Linked DNA regions of Drosophila melanogaster. The main gene of each other region encodes a partner of the protein of the gene in region 2 in a complex. Each region holds a gene or a part of one and is shown on either strand. Other genes may lie near its edges.

Region 1 (6,005 bases), on a different chromosome or scaffold from region 2:
CCGCAAATGAAATTGAACGCCCTCGTTCGGTAATCTCGGAAATAGGATTGAAATCCCGGGAAACTGAACACCCGAACAACCTGCCAACTGCCGACTCATTGTGCGTCAAATTAATGACAAAGTGAAATCCACAAAAAACCAGAACACGGAGCAGAGCGGGTAAAGTTTGCCGCCGTGACAAAGAGCTTTTCAAAACTGCGAGAATCAGCGGCAAGGCGGAAAGTCTACTATAGCTTACCCTATGCGGAAATTCCAGCCAGAGACCATATATGTATATGGTCATGCCACCAAAAACATCTGGACTAACTTAAAACCTAAAATGTTATATCTTTTTTATAATATGTTCCATTTCTCAGTTGGTATTCGTTACTTCCATTTGTTCATAGATTAATACCGAAACATGGGAAACCTGAACGTTACCATTTAATTTCAGCTTAGTGTTCTTCTGTTGCAAACCAAAAACGTTTTTTTCGCTCTGCCCAATCTTCTAAGTAATTTCCAATCCCCACCTGCTGACCACTAGTGGTCCATCGCAAGAATGGCCACAGGCTTTCGTCGGTTGGCGAGCGAATATCCTCGATGGGCGCAACTTTGCGCACGCAACCCGCAAAATTGCGAACGAAGTAAAGGCAGCGGGATTTCGCATTATTCCAAAAATGTTTCAAACGCAAACTAATCCCGGATGCAATTCGGATAGCAGTCGCCGCAGGAGAAGAACCACATCCGCCGCTCCGGATGGAAGCCAAAAGCGAATCTGCAGCCGAACGCACGCAACAGAATCAAAATCACAACCAATTTTGTAATGGCTGCGTACTGGCAAATTTGGCAAAATCCCATAAAATTTGGAAGGATGGTGGGTAGAGTGGGTAGAGTGGTCGGTAGGCGTGCCAATCCAATTGGAAAAATTACAAAACAGTCCGGTCAATTTCTGTCGAAGTGTCGGCATTACAAGAGGTATGGAAAACAAAGCGATACAAGTGGAAAATATGCTGTAAAATTGAACACTGTGCTGTGGGCAATTTTAAAACAGACGCAGTATCTTTAAGGCTCGGGCTCACCTTTTTCCTGTGAGATCCTGTGTGTGAGTGTGTGTATCCCCGTGGGTCCCTGACCTTTAGTTAACTTTTCATAATCGATGAGCTGGCGCATCTCATACAGGGAATGGCGGTCCCAATCACGCTCACTCCCACTTCCATGCCGAAGTCAACCCCCCAGACACAATAAAGGGTTTTCAACTTTGACCCTAGCCTTTTTATACTCGTATTCGCATATCCGCCCCTACCCACAGCAATAATAGCAAGTGTGGCTGGCGCAAAGTTTTGGCAGTCCAAAGTAGCTCAAGGAATATATTTTTTTAGGCCCAGCCTGCCGTTTCCGCCCTCTTCTCTCCTTTTTTTATACAGCCCCCTAGGGTGCGTCTGTGTGTGCCGCCGGATGGAATGTGGAGCGAAAAGTGTTTTAAAATGGGGATGCCCTGCTTTAACATAATGACCAACATTTCCAAGAGGTGAGTGCAAATGCTAGGCTGTTATTAGAAAAAAACAATGTAGCGAACGAGGAGGTATCCCCAAAGAACATAAAATAATCATAAGCATAATGAACGGGTTAGTATCTGTGGCTAAGGTTGCATAAATCTTAAGTTTTTAATTTACTTTTTCACACAGGGCCTGACCAACTTCAGATTGTTTAAGCTTGGCGCCCACTTTTATGGCAGTCAGCTTGTGCAAGAGACATAATAGTGTGACCTTAATTCTGTTTACCGTACCAAATTTAGTATATTTACTCTGCACTGTAATTTAAACTAATTTTATTATAGGGCAACACAAATAATATTTTTATAAAAACTGTAATTTGTTTTTATGGCTAGATATACAATAATTAAATCGTAAGTATGTCCTGTCATGTGCGTAGTAAGAAATAGTTAGAACTCATTACACTAATAAGATAGAATGAATTGAAACTTCGATAAACTTCGGTCGATATAATTTGGCCATCGATGAACGGTCACACTGGCACTGTGCTTGCAAAAATCAAAACAATCCCAAAATTTAAAAACAAATTATCCAACTTGAAGTTATCAAAATGACGCAGGACATGCTGCTGGGCAACGAGGAGCCGAGCAAGAGCAAGGAGACGTTCCTGGAGAAGTTCTGTGTCCTGGCCAAGTCATCCACCGGCGCCGCTTTGCTGGATGTGATTCGCCAGGCCCTGGAAGCCCCGAATGTCTTTGTTTTTGGCGAATTACTGGCGGAGCCATCCGTTTTGCAGGTGCGTCCATCAATGAAACACATTCTGGCAGTAACTTACCAACCACAAAACCACACATAGCTTAAAGACGGTCCGGACTCCAAGCACTTCGAGACCCTGAACCTATTCGCATACGGCACATACAAGGAATACCGTGCACAGCCGGAAAAGTTCATCGAGCTGACTCCTGCCATGCAGAAGAAGCTGCAGCACCTGACTATCGTCTCGCTGGCCATTAAAGCAAAGAGCATTCCCTATGCCCTGCTGCTCAGCGAACTGGAGATCGACAACGTCCGCCACTTGGAGGATATCATCATAGAGGCCATCTACGCGGGTGAGTTCGCCTAGGTGGATAGATTCAACTAGGTTTCAACTTTACAGCCCCGATGTAGTCTATACAATGTTGCATTACTTTTATTTGCGCAAAACTCATATAAAACAGTTGTTTCCACCTCTCAAAAGTCAAAAAAAAAAGTCCCTTTTCGCATGAAATCGATTTCACGGTTACTAGGGCATTCAACAAAAAAAGCTTTCCTCCTTTTCCTTTTGGGTTAAAAACGTATTCATTTTTCAGCTGAAAGTCCAGCCAATTCAGTGCCAAGCTGACAAATCTCGACCCTGCCTCGCTCCTCAGCTTGCATTATTAAATCAAATGCTAATTTTTGACTACTTCTCACCATGGAAAGGGCGCCTCCTCGTTCAATTAGCATTTTTCAGCAGCTGTACACCTGCGCCGGCGGCCCAGCAGCTGTGAAAGCAGTAGATTCATAAAGTTGTGCTGCCGTCTAGCGCCTCCCATTCCAGACCACCACACCCCGGCCACCGCCTTTGGGCAGTGCACTTGATTAGCCGGGACAGCTGGCGCATCCTGGCAAACGAAAACAATTGGGCGAAGAAACGAGGATTATGCTCGGCAAGATTCATTAAGCCACTCGTTATGGCGCCCCACCAGTTGATTCTGCCCAACTCATCCCCGCGGGGAAACAGTTTTTACTGTTGCCGACGTCGTCAGCTGGATGAACACTTTTGCCTCGATGATTTCCTTTTTGAGCTCACGCCTCAGTGGTGGCCGCCTACAATCAAACTTCGCTACGTAATTGCCACATAAAAAGTTTGCTCCAAGCGTAAGGTGAGGAATCACAAATCGTAAATATTTCCAACTGTGGGAAAATCTTTTGTCAAGATGCTGACCATTAGTAGTTTTGTATGTACCTAAATAGGAGTAATTTGATACGATTACAATCAGTGCATACAATTCTTAGAATCCTAATAGAGACTTGTAGCCTAAATTGTGCATTTGAAACTAACAGGCAATTAGCTGTTGCTATGACTCGCATATAGGAGACGATTGTTGGTAGATGATGTGCATAATTTGCCCACTGTTGCATAGAAACTTGAAATCCATCACTGTGCGCCGGCACAGCTGCATATTTACACAATTTGCACTTGTAGTTCCGGACCGAGGACCCAGTCTGCATTGTATGTCTGCTGAAAGCCTTAAATCAAACGCAACACCCAGAAGCCGGGGCCCAAATATCGCACTCGGAAACATCGTCCGTGTAAGCATACTTAGGGCCCTCGAATGTGGTGCTAAACTTGTTGGTGCTGTTGATTTTTGAGCTTTGGCCTGTGATCTATGGACCGGAATGAAAACAAACAGAGGCTGTGCTATATGGGGCTGGAAAACGAGCCTTTCAGGCGGATTTTTGGTTAGTCCTGTTCGGTTTTCAGCGGCTCCCGACAAGTGCCCACTCGACGTATGAAACAATCTAAACATACGTACCAGAACATTAGCGCTGGATAAGCAAATAGCGTGCAGAAGTTTTTAATGGACTCTTGGACGTCCATTATGTAAGCAAATAAAGTGACAACTCAACGCCATCTGCTCCTCGCAACATCGTCTCACCTGCCCTTCCTAATTGCTTTCCAAATCCAGGCAATGAACAGACAAATAAATTCCCCCGCCCCAGCGAAGATTTATGTTATGATAGCCATCATTAGAGCATCATTGCGGGTGGCAGGAGGCCAAGTGCCAGATGTCTGGCGGAATGCGAAATCATTGCGTTCTATTAGGCGCCGTAATCTGACATCGCAATTTAATGTAGTTGGCAACGGAGCGGGGCCTCCATTAGCCGGCGGGCAGGTTGAGTGGTTCTCTCGTCGCGATTCCAGGTCATCCCATTAGAGCATCATTTGTCTACCAGGACGCTGGGTTGGGGATATGGTAATTAAATGCCTTCTAGAATTCAAATTCGCCAGAAATTCATTTCGGCTCGTTCCATTAGTGGGACAGCTCTTGATTGTTTCGGCTTTGCTCAGTGTTTGGTTTACATTAATAGTACCTAAATTTATTTCAGATATAATAATAATAAGTAATAATAATAAGTATTCCCTCAAGTTAAGTTTTGTTACCTCTGAGGATATTTAGACAACATCATGTGCTTTAACTTGTATTTTAGTTCTTTGCTCTTTCTTTCATAGCAGTTCTACGAATGTTAATTAAGTTGTAAAAATAAGAGTAAGAGTGCGGATAACCGCCCTCAAAAATGTATTGTAAGCGAGAGTCTTTGGCATCTGCTCCTAAAATCGATAAGTCGAGCATTCCCCACCAGAACAGCCTCTGTGGTTTTCAATCTCCCAGGCATTTTCAAATATTTTCCCAACTGCTTCGAACTACTTTTTATGCAATAACATCCCGGCACCAGTAGCTGTATGCTGGGAATCGCACGAATATAAGCAAAACAGTTTGTGCACTCATGTCGAGGCGAGAGTGGTGGTTCGGAATGCCACCGAGTTCACCGAGGATTGCACCCTCGCTGTTGCCGTGTCGAGTTGCTGGGATTTACAGAATGTGTCGCAGAATGCGCCTTCTTGATTTTAGTTTTTTGGTGCACTTCTTTAATTTCTTTTGTGTGTCAAAGAAAAGTTTCGCATAATTCAGGGTGCTTAAGAGCGGCTTTTGAAGTAGCTTTCCACCGGGCCGGGGGATTTGCAATTCTGAGAGAAGTGGGATGAATTTGTTTGGGGGATGCACGGCGAAGTACCAAAGCGCTGGCCACTTGTGCATAACATTTTCTGAGTAGGCCGCAAAAAGTGTAAGCCCCTTTCGCAATCGGTTAATTAACAGTGTTCCAATGACGGGAACACTGCATGGAAAGCGGCTTTTATCCTCTGAAAAGCTGTTACATCAAAGGCCAGTTTACCTTAATGAACAAGCCGCGACCTTGCCGCAGAGCCGAGTACCCAAAAGAGACGCAGTTCGGACATAATTTGCTGCCCCCGCTCTAAATCCGGACGTATCCGTCTCCTCGGGACCCGCCGATTTTGCAGCTGCTTCTGATTGCATAGATTTCGGCGCCGGGAGCCCATTGCAGTGGGTTGCCCGGAAAACTTTGAGAAGGGCGAGTGTCTGTGGGTGGCTGCGCTGAGCACTTTGTCAGTTTTAGGTGAAAACTTTGCAGCAGCTTTATATTGATGGCACAAGTTTCCAGTCCGCTAGCTTGCGGTTGCAGCCCCGGGGTTCCCAAAAGAGCTGCTGCACTATATCAGTGAGTAAGGAGCTTAAACAACTATTTATTCCTAATTTTATTTGTATTGCGTACGGCAGTTTCCTTAACAATTAAAAAAAAAAAAAACAGAATCTAAATGCGTTCTTGCACGTTTCACTGTTTTGCGAACAGTGTCCATTTTAGGGGCTTATAGTGTCTGAAACAAAGAAAGTCCTGTTTTAATGAGAAGGATTTAATAATTAAGCAATT
Region 2 (5,005 bases):
TTTTGTTTATCTCCCTTTTTGATGTGGCATTTTTGGACTTGTTATGCGCCACAATTTACATTTACATTTAAGAGGATTTAAAAATTCCACAGAATAAATCCTGCACAAGCACACAAATGTTGACATTTTAATGGGCATTCCTTGCAGGAGTGATGATAACGGTTAAACAGGACTTGTATTTGCCTTGGCGCCCCCTCCCCCCTTTTTTTTTTTTGATACTTCACAGCGGCCATAAACGTGACAGCGTATTTAATTAGCGCCCTTCGCAAGCGGCCCCCTTCCTGTCCCTTCAAATTGATTGGGCCACGTGCTGGAAGGGCGTTGACATCTCACTTGTAGCTCTCGCTCCCAGGAGCAGACAGTAGACTACGGGTCTGTCAGGGAAACCCTAGAGCCCATCGGCAAACACGCAATCGGGGAATACAAGTTGTAAAATAAACCAAACGATGAAAATAATGAAACCATTTGATTGATGAGAGGGACGCATTCGCGGCTTGGCTTGTATAGCTAACCAGGCTGTGTAATATTTACTTTAAAAATCCCGAAGCAATTAGGGAATGTTTCAGTCGGTGGGCTTCAGTTGTTGCTTTGAGACCGGCTCGGGTTACATAATTCTAGACCAATTGATTTACCCAAGCATCACATTTTCGACAATGTTTTATCGCCATGTCCAATTATTTTATATTCTATAAATGTCAAATGCAGAAGCGTTTTTTATTTAACAATAAAAAGGTTTGTTTATCTGAAAGAATATAATAAATGGTGGATCGGCTGTTTTTCGTCCAGGCGAATAAAAGTTTCAACTTTTACTATGCCTTCCGTCGTCTAATACATAAATAACGAAAACAGTTTCTCTACAAAAAAGAACCCATTTTAAAAGTAAAAGCGTTTGAGATTTTTTTCATCAGCCTATGAGGCGGTTTTATAATTTCCTTTTTCTTTTGGATAAGCTTGACTTACTTAAATATTTCCCAGGGAAATGAAAAGAAAATTCACAATGCATTTTAAAATTCATTGCGAATTTTAGTGTTGAACTATTTGCCCAGTCCGACCTTGTTGAAAAGTTTGTCCTTAACAATCTGAGCCATCAAGCCGTGTATCAGTTCAATGGTGGAGCGGCTGCAGTCTCGGGTGGCCTTGGACAGCTTATCCTCCGAACGCTTCTCATTGACATCGGTTCCTGTGGATAATAAAGCGGGTAAATTATTTGCACAATTCCTAAATCGACCCATTATGTACCGCGACCTAAAAAGTTCTCACTCTGCTCCAGCTTCTCGGAGAGATCCATGATCTGACCGGTGGTGTACTCTGTGTTGGTGAGCAGACCCGAGCTGCCCAGTGTGTTTACCCAGTATTTGTTCCACAGAGAGTCGAGGAGCCTGCGGTCCAGAGCAGACTTGAAGTAGCTAATTTCCAAGGGATAGTACTGCTTGCAGTGGACTCCAAAGTCTTCGATCTTATTCAGCGGGATGGTCTGATACTCCGAGGGCTCCTCGTTTGGTGGCTTATAACCTTTTGGATACGTGCGGAATGCACCCAGACACACCTTGCCAGCGGAAACAGTGCGCACCGGATCAACCACAATGGCCACGAATGGCTCCTGGTATGTCTGGTTGAGCATCTGGGTGGACACATCGATGCCGGACAACCAGCAACCGTAACCGGGATGGCTGTGATACCAGCCCACGGCGTGTTCCATGCGTCCCACCTCTTTGGCCGCTTCCATGTAGGCGGTCATGTACTCGTACGCTTGTGCCTGGGCATTGACGCGGGTTTCAGTGCCCTCCACTGGCAGTGCAAATGCATCCATGACAATCTGCACGGGAATGACTTATAAATTGAGGACCTTTTTTACATTCAATAACTCACCATTGTGTTGTCCTCTACCTTGCCAAGCATTAGACCCATCACCTCCAAAGTACCGCCAGAGCGAGCGTGCATCACCATCTTTAGGAGCGCCAGAGCCGAGATCTTAATGTCCTTAAAGAAGTGGGGATCTTTCTCCCAGGGCTTCGCATCGATGATCTGCCGCTGCTGTTCGGCGTCGTAGCGAAAGATCTCGTCACAACTGGGCAACGTCTGGATGTTGTTCTCCAGCTCCCAGGTCTTTTGTGCGGCGTCGGAGTCCATTGTGATTGTACTTATGCCGAAAATTGTAGTCTTTTGTTGCAAGTTTTTGTTTTCCGGCTCAATTCTAGAGATGAACTTGTCGGTACCATCTGTACAATCAATTTCATGAAGGTACAATCGATATTTTTTATAAATCGATTATTATAAGTTAAGAAATTAAAATATTGATTAAAAAATTTAAAATTTATCTATATTAACAATTTATTTGTTTAATAAATAAAATGTATTTTTAATCGTTAATTTTTTACCAAGGAAAGTTTTTTAATTTAATTTTTCTGTTTACGATACGCACTCTAATTTGCAGCATTTTTGACTAAAAAAAACTTAAAACCTTATTTCATAGTGACAAAATGATTCATCGCAGTATCTGTAATCTGTATCTTTCTTTTCACTTCTTGAGATTAACCATTATTAATAATCACATAATATAAACCACTTTTAATTCAAGTAAGTTGTCAGTTCCTGCACCCCGAATTTTAAATGTAACGCATAAGCCGGCGCATTAAAAGCAGGTTGGCAGGGCTTGCGCGTCCATTGCAAAAAAATTCCTGCACAGAGTTTTCGCTACAATTAACTTTGGCAAGCTCGTGATGTGGGCCGTAAAAACAGTGTCTGGTGGAAAAGTGTGAAAGAAATCAGTGAATAGTTTGTGGGTGTTTTGTGTACGTGCATTTACCGTATTATTCCCAATAGCTTTGCGGCTTTTCAAAGTGCTCGCTTCGGTATTCGTTTTCCCCGCACCCAAGCCGCATTTGCGACGCCGCTTGGAAAATGTCGCTGGATGGCGGTAGGTTGCGCTACGAAGACGAAAATGGTAAAACCGTGGTTCTGGCAGCCAAAGGGCGCACCTTCCAGGTGGGCTCCTACTACAATTGCGACCTCATCCTGGAGGGGCCAGAGGAGGAGCGTCTAATTTGCGAAATAAACTGCGATGCCTTCGGCAGGGTGAGTCTGGATGGCAGGAATCCCCCTTAACCGCCCTAACATACTGCTTCTTCCGCCCTTAGGTCATCATATACAACAAGTCCAGCGGAGACCCCATTCATCTCAACGACGTGGCCATCCACGCTGCAGGCAAGCGTCCTTTGCTACACGGTGGCAAGATTACCATTCGAGACAAGGTCTACACGTGGGAGTTCCCCAAGACCTCCGAGGTGCAGGATGCCCCATGCACCCCAGAACGCCTATTGCCCAACGAACAGGCCTCAAACTCCTGCCCTTCATTGAAGGTAATAGCCGCCATCTGTTCCAGATAGTACAGTATTCCAAGTCCTACAATTTCCCCATTTTTATTTGATTTAGCAATCGCATCGTCTACAAGCCGAAAAACGCCTGACAGTTCACAAGTAAGTGAAAACAGCAGGCAGACCCCTAACCGACTACCTGGCCAACCCCTAAAATGTCTTTGGGCAACAACAATAGGAAAAAGTCCCTACTGCAAGCATGTGTTGTCTGCCTGTTAATAGTCCTCATAAAACCTTATCTCTGCTTATACCTTTTCAGTTTTCACTACAGCATCAATTCGGACGACGAAGGAAATACTTCTATAGAGTCTCGTGATCAGAGTGAGTCTCACTTGGAGGATGTCTCACTGAATGAATCAATTCAGCGCAGCACAGAGGAGACAGCTTACGAGTCCCCCAAAGTAAATCTTCTGGAGGCTACGCAGAATAAGGAGAATACCGCAACGCCACCAGGTAGCCACCAAAAGCTACTAAGGCTGTGCGCCATCTCCGACGTGGTTATTACCTCTTATTCGCCGCGCGAGACTGGCGTGAAGATCGAGAAATCCTTTTCATGTGTTCGAAAACCTGGCTACACCACGACGTCTTTGGCTGTTTCCACGCCCAAGAGCGTATACAGCACCCCCAAGGGCAATGTGCTCTCTGAACTAAACGAAGACAGCTGCAGCCGAGATCTAATGGACTTTAGCACGCCATCCACCTCAAAAAAAACCAAGCGGGATTCGTCCATGTTCCTGATCGACCTGACCACCCCATCAAAGCTACGACAAACACCCAAACAGACGCTTGGATTCAAGCTCACACCCAAACAGACGCCTATCAGTGTAGACAGCACCGACGAATCATCAGATGCATCCCCATTAGTCATAGACATAACTAACTCTGACACCCCGCCATCAGCAAGCCCTTCGCAACGGTATAAAACTCCTAAGCGTCCGGCTGGAATCACCACACCCAATAGAACGCCCCAGTCACTGATGAAACGAGCGTTGCTTACCAGCATTAAAAAGCAGATCGCCTCCAACCAACCAGATAAGACCACCCCCATAGCCACCCCCAAGCGGACATCTCTTCTGGAGGCTCGTCGCCACTGCCTGACTACGCCTCGGCGTTTGCCATTCCATCCACATCGTCGTACGCCAGTCCAGCGAGAAGGACATACGAGAGGAAACGCACCCAAGACCTCGCCACGCAAGCGTATATCCCTAATGGAGTCTCCCAGAGAGAACAAGGTCTCCCAGCTCAGAAAATCGTTTGCGGCTGCCAAGCGTAGTCCCGGCGTTGACAAGAGCAACAAGCTCGTAGCCAAGGCACGTCGTTCGCTTAACTCGCCGAAAAGTGGCTCCCCTAAGCCTGGATCATCTAAACCGTCATCTCCATGTCAAAAAAAAATCGATGTGTCCCAGATCAAGAGCTCCACTCCGGAAGAACCGGACGATTCAAAGGACGAGCTGAGCCGCACGTTCACTATACTGCATGATACTACCCAAGGAAACGATCAGAGTGGCGCAGCATTGGCAATCGAAGCGGTTACAGCTCTCATAACTGGGGAAGTAGACGATGATGTATCCTTTCAGCTAAGCTCGCTAATTGAAAAGAGGCTTCCGTCAGTGACCTCAGAAGAGCCTGCA

What was found.
Region 1: CSN5 (region 2) and CSN7 share a complex: the UniProt entries of both Drosophila melanogaster proteins name them as parts of the CSN complex.

What each region holds. Positions count from the first base shown.
Region 1 is NT_033778.4:8,419,029-8,425,033, forward strand, and holds the start of CSN7 (COP9 signalosome subunit 7), read left to right. Parts: upstream 1-2,004; 5' UTR 2,005-2,082; coding exon 2,083-2,268; intron 2,269-2,328; coding exon 2,329-2,581; intron 2,582-6,005. UniProt on the Drosophila melanogaster protein: Component of the COP9 signalosome complex (CSN), a complex involved in various cellular and developmental processes.
Region 2 is NT_033777.3:16,467,304-16,472,308, reverse strand, and holds CSN5 (COP9 signalosome subunit 5), read right to left. Parts: upstream 2,211-5,005; 5' UTR 2,131-2,210; coding exon 1,870-2,130; intron 1,817-1,869; coding exon 1,240-1,816; intron 1,181-1,239; coding exon 1,035-1,180; 3' UTR 903-1,034; downstream 1-902. Other genes in the region: CG42232 (uncharacterized protein), read left to right, coding at 2,902-3,075, 3,138-3,359, 3,433-3,476, 3,634-5,005. UniProt on the Drosophila melanogaster protein: Probable protease subunit of the COP9 signalosome complex (CSN), a complex involved in various cellular and developmental processes.